Linked DNA regions of Mus musculus. The protein of the gene in region 4 interacts with the protein of the main gene of each other region in a biochemical or structural test. Links are inferred from orthologs where the notes say so. Each region holds a gene or a part of one and is shown on either strand. Other genes may lie near its edges. The genes, in order: Yap1, Cacna1d, Wwtr1 and Shank1.

Region 1 (5,661 bases), on a different chromosome or scaffold from region 4:
TCCCAGCGCTGTCTTCACTTACTTTAAGAAGTATCTTTGACCAGAAGATGTCTTGGCCATCTCCCAGCCTGCTGGCAGTGGTACATCATCAGGGATCTCAAAGGAGGACTGCCGGAGATGCTGAGCTGCAGGGGCAGCGGCAGGGCCAGAGACAACGCCACTGGCTGTGAGTGTCCCAGGAGAAACGGCACCCAGCTGCAGGGAGGCTGGAGAGGAGTGAGCTCGAACATGCTGTGGAGTCAGAGCTCCCGCAGTACCTGCATCAGTACTGGCCTATCAGGAATAGCAAAATGAAAATTAACAATAGAGACAACAGCACCTACCCCTAACTTCCAAACAGTATGTCACGGCAACCAAATATCTAAGTATCAAATGTAAACTTTAATGTTTAATTTCTTACACAACAGGAACACACCAGACCAAATAGACCATTACAAAAATTTAATAGGCATTATAAATGTTATTTTACTGATGAACAGTCCATCTGGATGAATGTCTACCTCCTAGACAGTGTGAAAACAACAAATACTAGGCATAATAACTTTATTTAGTGGTAAAGAATAATGCTCATCCTACATAACTCAAAATAATCAGTACTTTTCTAAGCAGTGTGGTTACTTTTCCAGGTTCTAGAACAAAACCTGGGGAACGACTGGGCACTTTTTTCTTTGTTGTAAATGTCTAATGTTCCCCCATCTTTCACTTTTTTGACTGTAAACAAATGTGATAAGTCAGCCATTATAAATTATACAACATTTAATAAATTCAAACTCTCAGAACTGCACCAATGCTAAAAGCTCCTCAATGAAGAGAATAATAGGCTAGCCCTTTTTGTGCCTAGAGAAAGACTTTTTCAATTCAATTATAATTTGTGGATTCACACACTTATAATAGCTGGGTGAGGGACAAAAGAAAAATCTGCAAAGACCCCAATGATTCAAATTTGGGTCCAATCAGACCAGTGTTAAGACAGGGGTCAGGAATAAACTTGTGTGTAAATGAGCTTTTCCAAGCGAGAGGATATAGGGCTAGAAGACTTCTCAGGCAGGGGCCTGTGGATGATTATTTACTAACTCTGATACATACCATTCACAGTCCAATCCTTTTATTGGAATTAGGGTTTCTCAAAACGTTTTTCTAGATTTATGTTGATAAGGAAACTGAAAAGACCCAGCAGTCATTTAAAGCCCCATAGGAAAACCCCGTTTTTGAGTTTCCAGATAGATTGAATTTTAGGAAACCATTAGCGCACAGAAAAGGTAAATTTATTGACGAACAGCTCTCTTAAAACGCTTAGAGAGAATGCAAATGTACCCACGAACGGCCCAGTGGAAGCCAGTATTACAAGTACACTTTCCCGGGTTCATTCCTTCTGACTTCTAAGTGCTACAAAATGGAGCGTTCAATCTGTGTATTCCTTCAAAGTTGCCCCAGCGGTTTCTCGATTGCATGTCACATACGTTTAGTTCAGCGAGTACAGAAACTCACTTGTGGGGGAGGGAGCAAATAGTATCTAGGTCTACTGTTGTTACAAATTAAGAGTTTATTTAGCCGAGCAGCTAGATAACTTTTCCTTCCTTCTTAAGAGGCTTTTTGTAGGGAGGTTAATCGAGATTTTCGAAGCTTCAAAAACCCCGTTCTACAACAAGCCTGCCTAGGAGGGGGGGCTGGAGTGGGGGCGGCAACTCTTCTTTCCACTCAAGTTACAGCCCGAGTGGGCTAACGACATGGCAGTGTTTGGAAAACCAATTAAGTTTTGGGCAAAGTTCCTGTGCTGCTTTAGCCTAAAGCAAGTTCTTTAAAAATTAAGTAATTAAAAGCGGGGGGAGCGACACTAAAGAAATCTACCAGGACCTATCGGAATGTTAATACTTTGAAACGGTTTCACTTCTGTGCTGGATCCAGTTGGGAAAATAACCAGGCGTCGTGGATACGGATAAGCAGCCATGTTCACATCCGCAGTCAGTTAAAGAGCAATGGCGAGCTTGGAATTAGTCATTGCTTCCCAAACATTACCTTTAATCACAGTTGAGCCGGGCAGAACTCGGCCTATGAGTCAACCTGCAACGCGCTATCAAAGGCCGGCGCAGAAACCTCTGCACCGTGAGCGCAGCCGAGCTCCTGCGCAACACACAGACGTGGCTCATTTAAAAGCTTTCGGGCCGAACAGTAAATAATAGGTTACGATTTAGGAAAAGGACACGTGAGCCCACCGAGTGTGAAAGGATCCCGCCCGCGCGAGTTCCAGGGCACGGCGGAGGCGAGTGGGGGGTCGAGGGAGCTTCGCTCGGGCTGGGGAGCCCGAACCCTGCATCCGGAGAGCGCCTGGGCCGCGAGAACAGAAAAGCTTTCGGGAGAGGGAGGGGGAGGGGACCGGGAGAAGGAACCAGAAACTCAATGGACCAGTTCAACCCCCACCCCTCACCGGCACGCGAAAACAAGAGGGCAGTTAACACAGCTCCACCGGAGACTGCAGTGGCGCGGGAAGGGGAGATCGGGTACCCCCGGCTGGGGTCCCGCACAAGACGCCGGCCCCCTCCCCCTCCTCCCCTCCCCCTCGTCAGAGCGAAGGTGCGGAGCGGAGGCGCGCGCATTGTGCACCCCCCCTGCGGCCAACTCCGCGAAAACAACCCCCAGCACCGCACCCCCACGCGGCCCCGCGCCCCCGGGATACCCTTACCTGTCGCGAGTGGGACTTGGGCTCAGGCGGCTTGAAGAAGGAGTCGGGCAGCTTGCGAAGCCGCATGGGCACGGTCTGAGGCACGTTGGCCGTCTTGGGGTTCATGACGGCATTGAAGAGCGCCTCCAAGTCGGTCTCCGAGTCCCCGCGGACGTGCACGACCTGGTGGCCGGCCGGGGGTGCGGGCGGGGCCGCGGGGGTCCCGGCCGGAGACACGGACGGCGGCGCGGGGCCTTGCGGGGCCGGCTGGGGCGGCGGCTGTTGCGCGGGCTCCATGGCTGCGGCCTCGTTCGACGCTCGGGGCACTGCGCTCAGGTTCGGGGGGCTGCGACGCGCGCCCGCATCGCCCTGCACTCCTTGCCCGAGGCCGCCTCCCCTCTCCTCCCCTCCCCTCCGCGAGCTCCTTCCTTCCTCCCTTTCTTTGCCCCCGGCCGCGGCGGCGTCCCAACTGAGACAGAAACTTTGGCTCCAGACGCCCAAACTAAAAAGTTGCGAGGAGCGCCCGCCCGCGCGCCTCGCGGGCTCCGCCTCCTCGACGCTCTTCCTTCCTCTGCGCGCCCGCCCGCACCGAATCCGCGGCCCGCGGCCCCCGGGGAAACTTTCCCTGCGCGTCGCTACATTCCTGCAGACTCCCGGCCGCACGTGACCCGGGGGCGACCGCGCTGCGTGCGCACCCACCGGCCGGCCCCGAGCCGCTCGGCTGCGGGCGCAGATCCTGCCGGACCCGCGCGCAACGCCAAGGCCGCGAGGAATCGGGACAACCGGCTTGGTAGGGTGGATGCAAAGGCCACACTGTTCACCCGCACTAAGGTTAATCCGGTCCGCGTTTTAACATTGATTCCATTTACCACCAAGTTTGAAGAAGAAACAACAAAACACTTGAGGGCGGGTGCAAATGATTTCAAAGTGAAGCTTGGAAACCAGGAGTTGCACTGGGAGTACCTTACAAAAGGAAACAGTATTACTTTTTAAATTTTGTTTTAAACAGGCTTTACTCTGTAGTCAAGGATATCCTCCAACTCTTTGTGCCACAGCTTCCACAGACAGCTAGGATTCCAAGCCAGGGCCTCTGCTAGCCCGGTTTTTGTAGGTTCATAGGTTCGTCCTTTTTCTTTTCTTTTTTCTTTTTTTTCTTTTCTTTCTTCCTTCCTTCCGCTCCCCCTTTCTCCCTCTCCTTCCTTTTTCTTCCTTTTTGTGTTTCTAATTATGTACAAGTGAGCACAGGTGAAGGTCAGAGGACCATTTGTGGGATCTGTTTTCTTCTTGGTTGTGGGTCCCAGAAATCGAGCTCAGGTACCCTGAACCATCCATCTCATGTTGACTACCCTATTTTGCTGTTTTGAGTCAGGTTCCTATGTAGCTAAGGCTTTCCTCCAATTCACTACATAACTGAGGCTAGCTTAAAATTTCTGCTCCCCCTACCTCAGCCTATAAAGGGCTCAAATAACAAATGTGGGGCACCTTGCTCAGCAAACTTTTTTTTTTTTTAAGTGAAAAGTCAATTTTTTAACACCAAAACTTGACATTTCTTTGGGAACTTCAACTCAAAACATAAGTCACTGTTTAACCTCATGGAGCATTGTGGGTTTTCCTCTTGTGTTTAGTACAAGGGTAAACAATGCAGGGTAGACTAAGAAATGAACCTCAATGGAGATTACCTTAGCCCCTGATTCTCTGTGTGTCAGTCTTTTATCTATCAGGAGCCTATCTGGAATCACTCCAAAAATGATAAAAATCTGTTCGTGTTTTTTAAGTTAATTATTTTGTATTGGGTGTTTTGCCTGAGTTTATGTCTTTGCCTTGGTTCCACAGAGGTCCAAAAGATGGTATTAGATTCCATGGAATTGGAGTACAACTGGTTGTGAACAGCCACGTGGGTACAGGGATTCGAACCTGAGCCTTCTTAGGAACCAGTACTTTTAGTGACCGGCCCTCTCCTCAGCCCCTTGTTGAAGTCATGAGCTACAAAACAAGAACTGGTTTTAATGAGGTATAACTGACATAACTATATAGTCTTCCACTTAAGCAGTTTGGTGCTTTTTGAGTGTATTCCCAGAGTTGTGCAACACTGACTTTAAACACACAAATTTCTTCTCCAGAAATCTGGTTTCTTGTTCTAATGATTTTGTCTGCAGTGTGAGTGAAACGGGTATAAATAGGATTAAGCAAAGAAAGGACCCTTGAGCAAAAAGATAATCTCTTCCTCTAGTTAAGACACGCCCGGAAGAATTCTGAGCAGCAGTCTATCGCTTTGTGTGGTAGAGTAGGGTGAGCTAGCTTCAGACAGGTAAGATTTGAATCAACTATTTAGGAGCCTCAGTTTCCTGTCCTAGAGAGGAAGAAGGGTAAATGTCTCCCTAAGACTGATTCCAGGATTGGTTCACACCAAGTGCCACAAGACCACACTCTTGTGGGCTCTGGAGTTTAGAGTTCAGGTCCCAGTTACCCACACAGGAGCTGTGTGATAGTGAGCAAGCTACTTCCTGCTCTTTCATTTTGTAATTACATCCACCTCATGTCTCTTATGTCGTTGAGACATTAAATGAGTCAATGGATATAAAGTACTTGGCCCAGTTTGTGGCACAAGGCGAGGTCTTAGTAGTTGTCAGCTATTATCAATGCCCTGTGTTTACAGATTACTTCACTGGTAGTGGCCTAGCCTGTTGGGCCACAACCGTTTTAGAACCTTGACAGCACTCCCTCCTTCTCAAACCCAGCGGTTAATCCACAAACAAAACATTTGGGCAAAATATCTGCAGTAGAAAGTTGAAATGGCAGGCAGTGCTGGTGCATGCCTTTAGTCCTTACACTCAGGAGACCAAGGCAGGCAGATCTCTGTGTGGACTTGGGGATGGGGTGAACTGAAGACAGATTTGGTGCTGCATTCCTTTAATCCAGAACTAGAGAGGTAGAGGCAGCTTCCAGGTCAGGCTGCTCTACATGGTGGATTTCAGGCCAGCTAGGGCTACACAGACTCTGTT
Region 2 (4,427 bases), on a different chromosome or scaffold from region 4:
CCAGCCCGGAATCCCAGTCTTTTATTAATCCCTGGTTCCCTGGCCAGCTCACTGAGTGGCCTCTGCTACACAGGCATCTTCCCCCAGGTTTTTGAGAAGCATCTCTGCACAGCTGCCATGTGCCAGACTGGGACCAAGGCTCAGACCTCTCTCTGCTTCTCCCGCTCAGATCATGGCCGTTGCAGGCCTAGATTCCAGTAAAGCCCAGAAGTACTCACCGAGCCACTCTACCCGGTCGTGGGCCACCCCTCCAGCAACCCCTCCATACCGAGACTGGAGCCCATGCTACACCCCTTTGATCCAGGTGGACCGCTCAGAATCTATGGACCAGGTCAATGGCAGCCTGCCATCCCTACACCGAAGCTCCTGGTACACAGATGAACCCGACATCTCCTATAGGACTTTCACGCCAGCTAGTCTGACTGTCCCCAGCAGCTTCCGGAACAAGAACAGCGACAAGCAGAGGAGTGCAGACAGCCTGGTGGAGGCAGTGAGTATGGGTGGCCTTTGACCTCTGGACAAATCTTAGGTGGCAGCAGAAACAGAGCCATGATCACATGGGGAGGGGGCAGTGGTGGGCTCTGCAGCCTTGCCACCCGAGGGTGGCCTCTCGGCAGCATTTAAGGCCTGAGTGAAAACCAGCTGGCACTGCCAAGTCCCACCAGAGAGTCCCATCCTGCAGTGCCAGTCTGTGCTACGTCCCCAGTGCTTTCTCTCTTGCTCAGCCTTGTGGAGCCACTCAGCTTTCGACACCAACAGAGCTGAGCTCATTTATGGTTAGCATCGTGTATAAAGTTTAGCAGCATGGCTGACAGCGTCCCCAGAGCATGCCGCGCACTGAGAGCTGATGCAGACCTTCCCTCATGCCATCGATCTATCTCCTATACAGGTCCTGATATCCGAAGGCTTGGGACGCTACGCGAGGGACCCCAAATTTGTCTCAGCGACAAAACATGAGATTGCCGATGCCTGTGACCTAACCATAGACGAGATGGAAAGTGCTGCCAGCACCCTGCTCAATGGCAGTGTGTGTCCTCGAGCCAATGGGGACATGGGCCCCATCTCCCACCGCCAGGACTATGAGCTCCAGGACTTTGGTCCTGGCTACAGTGACGAGGAGCCAGACCCTGGGCGAGAGGAAGAGGACCTGGCAGATGAGATGATTTGCATTACCACCTTGTAGCCCAGTGAGGGCAGGCTGGCTCCAGCCAGAGACGGGCACGGGAGGGCCAGGGATAAAGTGCCTCATAATTAGGAAAGTTTAGGCACTAGTTGGGAGAAAAACGCTCAATTAGACTTTTGTACAAGTGATTTCATGCCTCAAGGAAGCCATAAACCTGGTAGGAGCAGGTTCTGAGCGGCCTGGCATGTGCTATGTCACATGCTCAGGCCCGGCCTCAGAAGACAGTATATCTGGCCTGCACAGAGGCCAGAGGGCTGCCCAGGAGTTGGTGTCTCCCATCCAGGGTGCATGCCCATGCCCCTTTGCCTGCAGACATGAGAGAGGTTAAAGGTGATGACAGTCACCACGCCTGTGTCATTACCTCAACCATTGGTCTAGCATATCAGACACCCACTGGGCCTGGCATATCCATTTCTGAGCCCCCTCCCCCAACACACTGGTTCCTGGTTTCTGTGGAGCTGTTCTGAATGGTACACATCAGAACCCAGCCACTAGTGGTCACGACAAGGGGAGTGGGACCGGATCGTTTTGTTAAGCGATGCCAGTTTACATAAGAGACCATCACTCAGACGGTCAGTTCTGTCACATTAAGGGCAACTGTAAACTGGAAGAGTACCGCACTTGCAAACCAGGTAAAACTTAGATACGTTTAGTTTGTTTAAAAATTATAGATTTACTGTACATGACTTGTAATATACAATTTGTATTTGTAAAGAGATGGTCTATATTTTGTAATTATCGTACCGTATTTGAACTGCAGCAATATCCACGGGTCCTAACAATCGTAGTTTCCCACCCAAACCTAGAAATTATTAGTATTTTTACTTGGGCTAAAAAGAATTAGGAGAATTAGAGCCAATTCTCACATGTTCAGTAAAAGAATCTTTGGGGATAAACTTTTGAGTTCCTAAGAACTTGGCACTTCAGAACTTTTTTCTAAAATATTTTGAGTTACTATAAACCTATCTTTCCGTAAGATATCAAGTTGACTAATTTGCAGTCTTTTCTTTGGGTTCTATGATTTTATAGTGCACCTCCCACCCACATGGGTTGCCGTTGACTTTGGTTTGGTTTTATTTTCACAACCCTCTGGTCAGTTAGTTATGCAGCAGGTCCAGCTGGCTACTCGGCCCAGTGGCATCCACTGGTCTGGCTCCCTCAGTTGCCCACGCAGGATGCTTCTGGGTCTCTGACGTGGAGCTGCACAGATGAGCTGCCCACGTCTGCTCACATCCCCAAGGATGCTTAAGATCTAGGAGGTATACCACAGGAGGGGAGAGGGGAGCACCGTGGTGTCCTGTGAATGCAGGTGGTCTGTGGAGTCCTGTCGCCTTTCACAGCTGCTGTGCAGGATTCTCTTTGAGAGCTGTCACACACAGCGGAGCAAGGGCTGAAGTTTTCACGAGAACACAAGCGCTCTGACTGCACACCTGGGGACAGTTAGCTTTGGAATCGTTAGAACTGTCAAGATTTCCTGTCAGCATCATGAGATCTCATCCCATCACTTTCCTAAGGATTCTCTGCAATCAAAAATACAGGTAGCAATTTGGGTTCAAAATTTTTAACTAGTACACAGACAACCTGTGGAAACAATTTTTTTTTTTGTAAATAAATTTTATTATAAAGACCTCGCAAACCTCTTCGGAAGACATTCTTACTCCAGATGCAGGCAAAAACACTTCAAGGTTTGTAAATGACTATTTCCTGACATAAAGCCTTTTTTTTTTTATTAAAATGCAAAACGTTCTTCAGAATAAACTCTGTATAATGTCATCATATGGGGAGCTCTCCTCACACAGCTGGCTCTACTGGGGGAGCTTCGGGCGGCTTTTTCCGCCCTTGGTCTCCGAGACCGATAGTAACTTCACACCAGCTGCAGAGTGCTGTTCTCCTAAAGGGCTAAACTACCATCAGCATTTACCTTGGACTCTGTCGTGCTGGGTGTCTGTCTGTCTGTCTGACTGTGCGACGTAACATCAGCAGATCACACTCACGTGTGTTCTGGAATGGGTGATCGTTCCCAAAGTCAGCTGTCAACGCTGCCTGGCGTTTCAGGCTGTCCTTCCCGGTATGTCTGCTTTAAGCCTGGTTCAACCTCTCATTTAATATTAAATTTCTCTTTGTAAGAAAAATTTGAAGTTGTAGAGCATGGTTTTTTCCTCCCCTTTAAGGAAGTTTTAAGACTAAATAGTTCTGCTTTTTGGTTTTCCTACCCTGCCCCACCCCCCCCTGATATTGAGGTCTTTGGAATGCTGCTTTTAGTTTAAGCTCCTGCTTTTAATGACATTAAAAGGTGGAAGTCACTATGATCTGCTCACCGTCAGCAAGAACCTCATTTGGGATGGTCTGTGAGGTATGTGGACTTGTGCTCCATAGTTCTAGAAGGTTGAGGGTGTAGCCCTAGCCACTTGAAGAGAGCATAGCTGGGGTGCACTACCCACTTCACAGTGGTCCAGCTCTTAAGCCAGATCGGCTCTATTTTGTGCTGTGTGCTTTTTACTATCTACGATCTTTATCAGCTCTGCCTTTACTTGGGGAGGATGGAGTGTTGGTTTACTTGTACAAACACCACCAAATCATGGGCACCTCTCACAAAACCCACTCCAGCTGTGCTTTCCCAGAGGGCAGTGGAGACCTAGGGAGAGGCTCGGTCTCTGGCTTCTGATTTCAGAACAAGGGTGAAGAGTGTGGTTGAATATACAACAGCCCAGCCAGCAGGGGCTTCGCAGGTCACCAGCTTGGGCCTAGGAGGTAGGTCATGTTTTCCCCGCCCCCCTCCAAATTTGAAGATTAAAATCTTTGCATTAGGTTTGATATTGTGGTAGTTTATAAGTGGAAATATGAAAAATCTTGGGGCCTGAGGGATGTAGTATGGTGGGTGAGAAGAATCTATTTGAATGTATGGAAATGAGGCAGGGCTCATGTGTTACAGTGTCCCCACCTTCTGCTTCTATGACTGTGTCTGGTCATGCTGGCAAGTTGTCCCTGTCTCCATCCATGATCTGTGACCCTGTCAGGAACACACTTGGCCAACAGTGAGGTGGGCCCAAGTCCCATCAACACAGCAGGGCTCCCCACAGTTCTTTTTGGTGCTAGGGGTCAACCCTGGGGCACATGCTTGCTAGGTGTGCAGGTACTGGTTTTGGCAACATGTGGCCTTCCATGATTGGGGTATTACAGGCTCTTTGCCAAGGAGCCTACTTAACTAAGCCTTTCCAGTTTCCCCAGGAGACTCAGTCTTAAC
Region 3 (4,881 bases), on a different chromosome or scaffold from region 4:
CGGTGGGTAAAAGTGCTATTCGGAGCAAGCTTCACCATCTGCGGCCAACCCCTCAAATCCCAGACTGGAAGGAGAGAGCTGACTCCTGAGGACTGGACTCTGACCTCCACGAGTATGCGCATACACACTAATAGCAAAAGGCCTGCCAAAGGGCTGGGGTAATGACTTAGCAAGTAAGAACAACTGCTGATCTTGCAGAGGATACAGGTCAGTTCTCAGCACCCACAAGATGGTTCACGTCCACCCTTAACTCTCGTTCCGGGGGAGCCAATGATCCTCCAAAGGATCCAGGCATGCCTATGGTGCACATATATGCATGCAACAACATTTACACATATAAAAGAAGATGCATCCTTTTTAAAAAATTGAAGCTGAGCAAGATGATATCCAAGATATTCTGGAAATATCCTCAGAAAACACTTTCATACCATTATTATATGGCCTTATTTATTACCTATGACTTGTAACGGGGACCATGCTGTTTCTGGATGGGTTTGGGGTGAGGAAAACAATCTTCCATGATTAATAAGTCTACTTCAGAGGGTTTTTCCTCCTATAATCCAGTAACAAAATTAAAGAGATCAAAACCATCCATACACACATACACACATACTCACTGGTACTCACATGCACATACACTACACACACACACACACACACACAGGAGTCAAAGCTAAGCAGTCATTGCCAGCCTTTCTTTTGCTGCACTGTGGGAAGGACTGGAAACTGGGATTCCCTAAAATGCACCAAGTTCCCCAGCTGCCACAGCTCAGTTCTGAAGGAACTATGTTGGCATTTCTGTAATATGAACCATCAAAACTATCCTTGGCTCAAAGGCACCTCCAGCTAGAATAAAGGAAACAATGCCAGGCCCTTTTCCACACCCCTTTTCGAAAATTCTTTCTGTGGGAAAGGAGGAGACAGGGCAAAAGAAAGGCAGAAGAGACGGACACAAATCACTCCTAACAAAAGAGTGACTTGAAGAAACACACACACACACACACACACACACAATCATTTAAATACAAAATGATTTATAAATGCTAAATGTATAAAGACAATTTATAAATGCTAATTCACATTCTATTTCCAAATAAGAAATTGACTGATTCCACATAGAAATATCCAAAAATGGAAAACAACAAATCATATGATTATCTCCTGCCAAGAAACATGATAGGCTATATCTAAAAACCTTAATAAAAATTGTTACCATGATGCAGCCAAGAAAGCGAAAATGTAGATTCTATGAGTAAACGTAGTAACTATAGCTACTTAATAGTCTTCTTCATTAACTTGATATTCATTTCCCCTATTTTCAAACACTGCATCTGAGCTGTATTTGATGAGCAAGACATTACTATTGATAAAAGATGTATAGATTTTAAAATAACAGCTGTAACTTGAGAAAGTCTTTACAATACCCCTATATTCCCTTCCAAGGATACTCTCTGAGCAGTTAAAACTATATTTTTAACAATGGCAAAAAGGCTCAAACTCAGCCAGGTGTCTTTTTTTCCTCCCTCCCATATCCCCTTCTTCTTTGCTTCTCTGTCTTTCTTTCTCCCTCTGTTCTGGGAACAAGAACCTTGAACACTCTAAGCAAGTACTCTCCTATTGAGCTATGCCCCTAGCCAACTCTGGGGCCTCAAACTCTCATCCCTGAGTGGGTCTTCTGAGTTATGGATTGAAGCCATGCCTGGCTTTTTTATTTTGTTTATGACATACAATGCTGAACCCTCAGAAGATATACAGCAGTTTTCTCTTGACCAAATAGGTGAATAAAGAATAAATATTATGGGCAGGATGGCACATCTTAGTCCCAGGATTTAGAAGCTGAGGCAAGAGGATCTTTGACAACAGGACTTTTCTTTTCTCTCCTTTTCTTTTCTTTTACAATGTATCATCATGTAGCCCTGGCTGTCCTGGAACTCACTCTGTAGACCAGGCTGGCCTTGAACTCACCAAGATCCACCTACCCCTGTCTCCCAAGGGCTGGGATTAAAGGCATGTGCTACTATGCCCAGCTATAACAAGATAGACGTAAAAGAAGAAAAGTCTAATTGATGCCCGTGCAGTTTTGTAGAGTATTCTGATCAAATCCACATCCAAACCAGTTTTCCTTCTCATTCTGCTTTGATTCTATCCTTTTTCATACTCTATCATCGAACAAGATGGCTGGCTACACGGGGCTTGTTTTATGGAATGCCTGCCTACTGTCTCCTTTAATGAGGGAAAGGGGACAAAGCTGACTCCATTTCTAGAACCAGACCCTAAGACACCGGCAGCTTCTCTCTCCCATCTCTTTCTATCCTCTCTTCTGGAAGATCGCTGTATAATGTCCTGGTACTCTTGAGATTGTTATGCTTCCTGTAATCCCAACTAAGCCCAACCTGCCAGCAATACTCACCACTAGCTACATCCTCCTGGACCTTGCAAACCACCCACCAGTTGACTACCGCTAAGTAACCTCAAGTCAATGGCAACAGAAGAACCACCTACCTTAGCCCTTTCTAAATTTTTAACCTACAAAACTGTGATTAAAGTAAATGACTATTTCAAGTCTCCGAGTTTGGGGGGATAACCTGTTGACAAAGTAACAGCTAATTGGAAGATGTTCTTTCTCAATTTTTCCTTTCTCTCTTTTTAAACACTATCAATGGAAGGCAAGGCAGCCATGCCAATATAACCATGCCCATGAGCTAGTTTAGCTCTTTAGCTCCTAAGGTTGGCCCTGAAGATAGTTCAGGCAGAGAGAGTTGGGAGAAGAAACTGGTCTGTGAATATGAGTCTTTGGACTTATCTTGAAAGCAAACAGCCACCCAAGGCCACAGAATCTCCAGCAGGTACCATGGAAGACCATACCTGCCTCATGAGCTCCTCTTGACGCATCCTAATCCTCTCTCTCTCCATCTGGATCCTCTGAAGCCGCAGTTTCTGCTGCTGCTGCTGCTGAGTGGTCAGTGCATTGGGCACACTCATGAGCCCTGTGGGTTGGTTCTGAGTCGGGTGGTTCTGTGGACTCAGGCTAGTGGCCACGACTTGCTGGTGTTGGTGATTCATTGCTACAGAAGGGAATAACGAACAGATCAATGACCAAGGTCTATGACACCATATCATAAAGAGACCATCAGAATGCTTTGTGCTTTGGAGTATAGAGTCCTGAATTCCTTTCAAGCATTTTACCATTAATTATTAATTACTATTTAACAATTATTCCCTTAATTCAATTCATGAAGGTACAGGTTCCAGCTCTACCATATCCAGTATTAGTTTTCTGTACTGTTAAACATCTTATGTCATATGTTTCCCACACCTGGAACACATTTATATTACACTTATTTTGTGTATGTGTGTGTGTGTGTGTGTGTGTATACACAAGTATGTAGGTTTTTGTGCTCATGCTTGTGCATGTGTGAGCCACATACACGTGTAAGCCACAGTTGCTTCTCTACTTCCACATGTGGGGCCCACAGTTGGACTCAGAAAGCTAGGCTTATACCAAGTACCTTTACCCACTGAGCCATCTCACAAGCCTGAGCCTCAAATACATTTTAGACATAACATAAAAAATAATCGTCAAAATATGTCGCTTTTTGTTACACGTTAGAAAAAATGTTTCACCAGGATACCCAGGAGTGCATGAACTTTTCAAACACCCGGAATAGCTGTAGCAGCATCACAGAAGGCATGTAATCAATTCTCAATATCCAATGGCTATATAAGAATACTCAGCATGAATGGGTGAACTGAGAGTAACAGGGAAAAAACAAACAACAAACAAACAAACAAAGACATCAATCATAAAAGAGGCCCATTTCATACTTTCTTAAGAAAGAATAACTCCTGGGATGGGAAGCATAGCTCAGTTAATAGAGTACTTGCCTAACATGCAAGAAGCCCTTGGTTCATCCCTAGTGTCGGATAAACCTGGAGTGGTGGTGCATTCCTATAATCCTAGCACTCAAGTGTGGAAACAGAGAATCAAAATGCAGAGGACTCTTCAGCAATACAGCAAATCTCAGCCCTGTTTGGGCTATATGAAACCCTGTCTTAAAATGTACAAAGGGGTAGGTGAGGAGGCCAGGCAGTTGTGGCATCCACAGTTAATCCCAGCATTGGAGAGGCAGAGGCAGGGAAGGCTCTGAGTTGGAGGCCAGCCTGGTCCACAGAGCAAGTTCCATGACAGCCAGAGCTACACAGAGAAATGAAATGAAATAAAATAAAATAAAATAAGGAAGAGCTGGAAAGAGGACTCCATGGTGAAGAGCCCCATGGCAGCTCTTCTAGAGGTCCAGGTTTCCAGTACTCATGGAAGTTTATTACCATTTCCAGTTCCAGGAGACACAACACCCTCCTCTGACCTCCGCAGGCACCAGGCATGAATGTATGCTATGAATGAATATATGCACAGGCATATATGCTAGTAAGTACCACACACACACACACACACACACACACACACACACACACACACACACACAAATTTTGAGAATACTTTAATCTTCAGTTTGGTGTGGATATCATGTGGAAGCATGTCATATACCTGAAATTCCTTAGATAAAAAGACATCGTGTGTCTAAAGCATGTGTAACAGATGGGCAGTCGTCCCAACTCAATTGCTAACCTGTGATGTAAGGACCCTATGGAACCTTATGGGCATTTCTCCCACCCTTAGTTTCAGAAAAACAAACAAAAAAACCCCACAGTCCTTATTGATGGCAGAATATTTGAAATGTATATTTTCCTTCCAGAACTTGGTATAGTCAGTCTTTGTTGAAGGCTGGGGGAAGAAAGATTTTGGACATATAGTGTCACAGGGAAAATGTTACCTCATATACACTTTCACCTAAGACAAAAATCTGACATCCGGAAGAGTTA
Region 4 (4,881 bases):
CATTGTTGGTTATCTGCTGTGCCATCCTGCACACAAGTACAGAGTATTCCTGTATTTGTTTAAGATGAAAGAAAGAAAAAGAGGAGGCAGAAAAAGGAGGGAAAGAGAAAGAAAGGGCTGAAGAATGGAGGAAGGAGAGGAGGGAGGCAGGAAGAGAGAGAGAATCTAGGACAAAGAAGAAAGTGAGGCGGGCAGGGATGGGAATGGCAAGGGCACTTGGGCCTTGCAGCAAGCTGTGTGTTCAAATCCTGGTTCCTCTCCCTACGTGGTTCTGAGCTATGCTACCTCATCCCCAGTGTGCTTCCTACTCTGGATAATTGGTTTGGATCTGGCAGCACTCAGTGGAGTCAAATGCGGTCAGCTCCAGTCCAACAGGGCTCTCAACAAACTGGCAGTCCTCTTCTGTGTGCGACTGTGCCAGCCCTCTGATCTCAGCCCAACACCATCCTCAGAGTCTGACAGCATGGCCCCCACACTGTCCTCCGACAGCCTCAGCTCTCATCCAACCCGTCTCTTATGCGTGTGTGCAAGTGTGTGTGCGAGTGTCTGTGCACATGTGTGCATGTGCCTGTGGAAAGCAGGGGCAGTCTTTGGTATCCATCCTCGGGCACCAATCAACTTGTTTGTTGAACTCTCTCAAAATCAGAGACATATGGTGTGTGTGTGTGTGCGCACGTGTGACATGCGTGTAGTGTGTGGTGTGTGTATGTGTGTGTGATGTATGGTGTGTGCCATATGTGGTTATGACATGTGTGGTATGTGTGCACCATGTATGGCTGTGGTACACGCAGTGTGATGCATTCTGAAACCAGACCAGGACAGGTATTTTCCTCCCTCTACCACTGTCTGGTCCCCATGAGACAGAGTCTCACTGAAGCACAGTTCACAGTTTTATCTAAATTAGCTGTCTATCAAGCGCTAGGGACCCACCTCTTCCCCCTCACCACACAGGCACCCAATGCTAATAATACAGGCATGGACAGCCAGGCTTGGATTTTTATGTAGCTTCTGATGATTTGAACTCAGGACCTCATACCTGAAGAACTAACTTACCCACCTAACCATCTCCCCAGCCCCTCACCCAGTCAGAGTGTTTTCCCTTAGTCTGCAAACAGTGTCCTCCCCTCAGGCAGGGTTCCCCTCAAAACCTGCTCTTCTCCCTAGGAGCTTTTTCTGACATTCTCATTACCTCACCCTTCCTCATTCAGTTCCAGACACTCTGACACAACTTCTTTCACACTAATCTTTCTACTATGATGCTCGCCCCTCCCTTTTACTACTTCCTCTCTCCTGCCCACCCCCTCCTCCATCAACATGTTCCTCTCCATTACATGGCCCCTCCCCCATCTCCCTGGCCCCTCCTCCATCGCATGGCCCCTCCTCTATCACCACAGTCCGTCCCCCATCTTTCTGGCCTCTCCTCCATCACATGGTCCCTCCCCCACCACCATGGCCCCTCCCCCATCAGCTTGATCCCTGTAAGGAGCCTGTCCCCAGACTCTCATACTCTGCTGCTCTAATGGGATAACAGGCACTTAAACTGTCCCTGGGTTACTTGGGACCTGTGAAAAGCACCCTCCACAGTGTCTCTGTCTTTCTAGGGTTGGACTTATTTTGTTTTCTTGCATGTTTTGTTGTTTTTCTGAGACAGAGTCTTATGCCGTAGCTGACACTTCCTTGAATTCACTTGTAGACCGTGCTAGTCTGGAATTCATGGTAATCCTCCTGCCTCAGCTTCTCCAAATGACAGGTTCCATGTCATACAAGACTCCATGTTCTGTTCTCTAATATACTTATATCCTGCCTTTCATACAGCCATGCCTTGTGGAAGTGTCCTTGTCAGTGGAATGAACAAGACAAACACAGAAATAGACAGTTCTAAGCCAGGTAGGCCAGTGCAGCGACAGGGCTTTTAAGACCCAGGAAAGCCTTGAATTCCTCAGACTACCACTGCCCTCTAGAATAGTCCACACTTCTTGTCCTGTATGGAGTTACAGTCACTCTGGATTCAAACACAACCAGTGTTGTGGATGGATGGATGGATGGATGGAATGACAGACAGAAGGAATGGTCAGTGGAAGAAGATGATGAATAGAATGATGGACAGATAGAATAACAGATGAATAGCCAGACAAACGAAATGGTGGATGGAAGATACACGGACGGAATGATGGATGGATAGAATGATGGATGGATGCAATGACAGACAGTAGAACAGTGGGTGGATGGTCAGACAGATGGGTGGAAGGATGGATGTGTGCAGTGATGGATGTGTGGAATGATGGACACGGGAGCAGACAGACAGATGGAATGATAAACAGGTACAAATGATGAATTGACAGAACAATGGATTGGTGACCAGACAGACAATTTTTTTTTCTTGAATGAGTTGAAACTGGGGCTGGAAAGATGGTTCCATTGCTAAGAGGGTTTGCTGTGTCACCATGAGGATGGGAGTTTGGGTTCCAGGCTTGGATAGCCCTGCAGCCCACCCACTTCCCCCACATATGCAACTCTAGCTCTTGTGCCTTTCTCCGGCCTCTATGAGCCCCTCCAGCATGCGCGTGCGCGCGCGCACACACACACACACACTTTTAAGTCTGACGTGAGCTGCAGCTGCTGGGAATCAGAACTGGGTCCTCATGTCTGTATGTGTGGCAAAGCGTATTACTGACTGAGCAATCGCTCCAGCCCTGATTTCTTTTTTGAAAGATTCCGCCAACTCTGGAAAAGAGACCAGAAAGGAGTGAAGGAGAGAGGAAACAACAAAGCCAGAGGGGTGGCTGCCACCACAGGCCAGAAGAGTGTCAATGGGACCTGGGTACAGGCCACGACTGCAGGTGGTACCTGCTTTAGTGGGACTGCTCGGCTGCCTGCTTTTCTTTTCTTTCTCCTGACTGCTTCCCCAGAGAATTCTCCCAGGACTTGCTTTCTAGCTTCTGTGTGCCTCGTCTCTGCCATGAAAGAGCTCAGAGGAGAAAGTAATTTCCTTTTGGAGTGTGGAGAACTCTGACTGATCCCTCTTCGCTCTCTTTTCTCTCTTCCTCTAACTGCTGCCCCGAAGTCGAGCTTTGATCCTCACCACCGCTCCCAGCCAAGTTATGACCGGCCTTCTTTCCTGCCTCCCGGACCTGGCCTTATGCTCCGGCAGAAATCTATCGGTATGTCCCCCAGAAAGGACCGTAGCCCAGGGGCAGGAGAGGACTGTCTAGGTTTGGAAATGTGCTGCAGCACCACATCCGACCCTGGTTAGAGGAGGTCGGGTTTGGATGAATTCCAACTTTGCTTCTCGCCTGCGGGACTGCGTGGGTGGTCTCTCGGCTTCCTGACCTTCATCTAGAAAACCGGGGTCTTTGGTGTCCAGAGGAAGGATTGTTGGTAGCATGCGGGTAGTAAGTGGAGGCAGATCCTTGTTGAGAGAGAAGCTAGCTACTTCCTAGGCGTCTCTGTGTAAAATAATAGCCTTTTCTTCTTCTCAAGCACGCTTTAAACTCGCTCCAAGTCACCATTATCATGGATTCAGGCCTTTGACTAATTAGGAAATGGCTCCCCCTCCTGGCCAGAGGGTGAAATTCCACTGAATTTCTCTTGCGCCTCTGCTGTTGTATAGCTTGTATGCAGAAGGAGCTGGGCCAGTCCCTAATTCCTCCATTGGTCTTACGTATCTCAACAGGGGCTGCGGAAGATGACAGACCCTACCTAGCACCCCCAGCCATGAAATTCAGTCGTAGCCTGTCAGTCCCGGGTTCAGAGGACATACCCCCACCACCCACTACATCCCCACCAGAGCCGCCCTATAGCACACCTCCGGCCCCCTCCTCTTCCGGCCGCCTCACTCCCTCGCCTCGGGGAGGGCCCTTTAACCCTGGTTCCGGGGGTCCCCTTCCCGCCTCCTCACCTTCATCTTTCGATGGGCCATCTCCTCCTGACCCCCGTAGTGGGGGCCGAGAGAAGAGCCTATATCACAGTGGCGCCCTACCCCCTGCCCACCACCACCCACCTCATCACCACCATCATCACGCCCCACCTCCTCAGCCCCACCATCACCATGCGCATCCTCCCCACCCACCGGAGATGGAGACAGGAGGTTCCCCCGACGATCCCCCACCTCGATTGGCTCTGGGACCCCAGCCCAGCCTTCGAGGCTGGCGAGGTGGAGGACCCAGCCCGACCTCGGGGGCCCCATCACCTTCCCACCACAGTAGCAGCGGAGGCAGTAGCGGTCCTGCTCAGGCTCCCGCCCTGCGCTACTTCCAGCTGCCCCCGAGGGCGGCCAGTGCGGCTATGTACGTACCAGCCCGCTCCGGCCGCGGTCGCAAAGGCCCGCTGGTCAAGCAGACCAAAGTGGAAGGCGAGCCCCAAAAGGGCAGCCTCCCTCCCGCGTCCTCTCCAACATCCCCGGCGTTGCCTCGGTCCGAACCACCTCCGGCCGGGCCGTCGGAGAAAAATTCCATCCCTATCCCTACCATCATCATCAAAGCCCCATCTACCAGTAGCAGCGGCCGCAGTAGCCAGGGAAGCAGCACAGAGGCTGAGCCCCCCACCCAGCCCGACGGCGCGGGCGGCGGAGGATCCTCGCCTAGCCCTGCACCTGCCACGTCCCCTGTACCGCCGTCCCCGTCGCCCGTGCCCACCCCTGCGTCACCCAGCGGCCCGGCCACCCTGGATTTCACTAGCCAGTTTGGAGCAGCCCTAGTGGGCGCGGCGCGGAGGGAGGGAGGCTGGCAAAACGAAGCCCGGCGGCGGTCCACGCTATTCCTGTCCACCGACGCAGGAGATGAGGATGGAGGCGACAGCGGGCTGGGCCCGGGGGCGCCCCCGGGTCCCCGGCTGCGCCATTCCAAATCCATTGATGAAGGCATGTTCTCCGCCGAGCCGTAC

Evidence for each region.
Region 1: the proteins of Shank1 (region 4) and Yap1 interact in a test that uses a peptide from one of them, tested with the Homo sapiens proteins (2 studies listed by IntAct, with this or other methods). The link is inferred for Mus musculus from reciprocal best matches to the Homo sapiens genes SHANK1 and YAP1.
Region 2: the proteins of Shank1 (region 4) and Cacna1d interact in a biophysical measurement, tested with the Homo sapiens proteins (2 studies listed by IntAct, with this or other methods). The link is inferred for Mus musculus from reciprocal best matches to the Homo sapiens genes SHANK1 and CACNA1D.
Region 3: the proteins of Shank1 (region 4) and Wwtr1 interact in a test that uses a peptide from one of them, tested with the Homo sapiens proteins (2 studies listed by IntAct, with this or other methods). The link is inferred for Mus musculus from reciprocal best matches to the Homo sapiens genes SHANK1 and WWTR1.

The regions. Positions count from the first base shown.
Region 1 is NC_000075.6:8,001,435-8,007,095, forward strand, and holds the start of Yap1 (transcriptional coactivator YAP1), read right to left. Parts: upstream 3,163-5,661; 5' UTR 2,957-3,162; coding exon 2,681-2,956; intron 274-2,680; coding exon 23-273; intron 1-22. UniProt on the Homo sapiens protein: Transcriptional regulator with dual roles as a coactivator and corepressor. Critical downstream regulatory target in the Hippo signaling pathway, crucial for organ size control and tumor suppression by restricting proliferation and promoting apoptosis.
Region 2 is NC_000080.6:30,038,829-30,043,255, reverse strand, and holds the end of Cacna1d (voltage-dependent L-type calcium channel subunit alpha-1D), read left to right. Parts: intron 1-169; coding exon 170-490; intron 491-889; coding exon 890-1,183; 3' UTR 1,184-3,315; downstream 3,316-4,427. UniProt on the Homo sapiens protein: Voltage-sensitive calcium channels (VSCC) mediate the entry of calcium ions into excitable cells and are also involved in a variety of calcium-dependent processes, including muscle contraction, hormone or neurotransmitter release, gene expression, cell motility, cell division and cell death.
Region 3 is NC_000069.6:57,474,492-57,479,372, forward strand, and holds part of Wwtr1 (WW domain-containing transcription regulator protein 1), read right to left. Parts: intron 3,066-4,881; coding exon 2,866-3,065; intron 1-2,865. UniProt on the Homo sapiens protein: Transcriptional coactivator which acts as a downstream regulatory target in the Hippo signaling pathway that plays a pivotal role in organ size control and tumor suppression by restricting proliferation and promoting apoptosis.
Region 4 is NC_000073.6:44,347,884-44,352,764, forward strand, and holds part of Shank1 (SH3 and multiple ankyrin repeat domains protein 1), read left to right. Parts: intron 1-2,712; exon of another isoform or gene 2,713-2,810; coding exon of another isoform or gene 2,811-2,840; intron 2,841-3,064; coding exon 3,065-3,161; intron 3,162-3,673; coding exon 3,674-4,881. UniProt on the Homo sapiens protein: Seems to be an adapter protein in the postsynaptic density (PSD) of excitatory synapses that interconnects receptors of the postsynaptic membrane including NMDA-type and metabotropic glutamate receptors via complexes with GKAP/PSD-95 and Homer, respectively, and the actin-based cytoskeleton.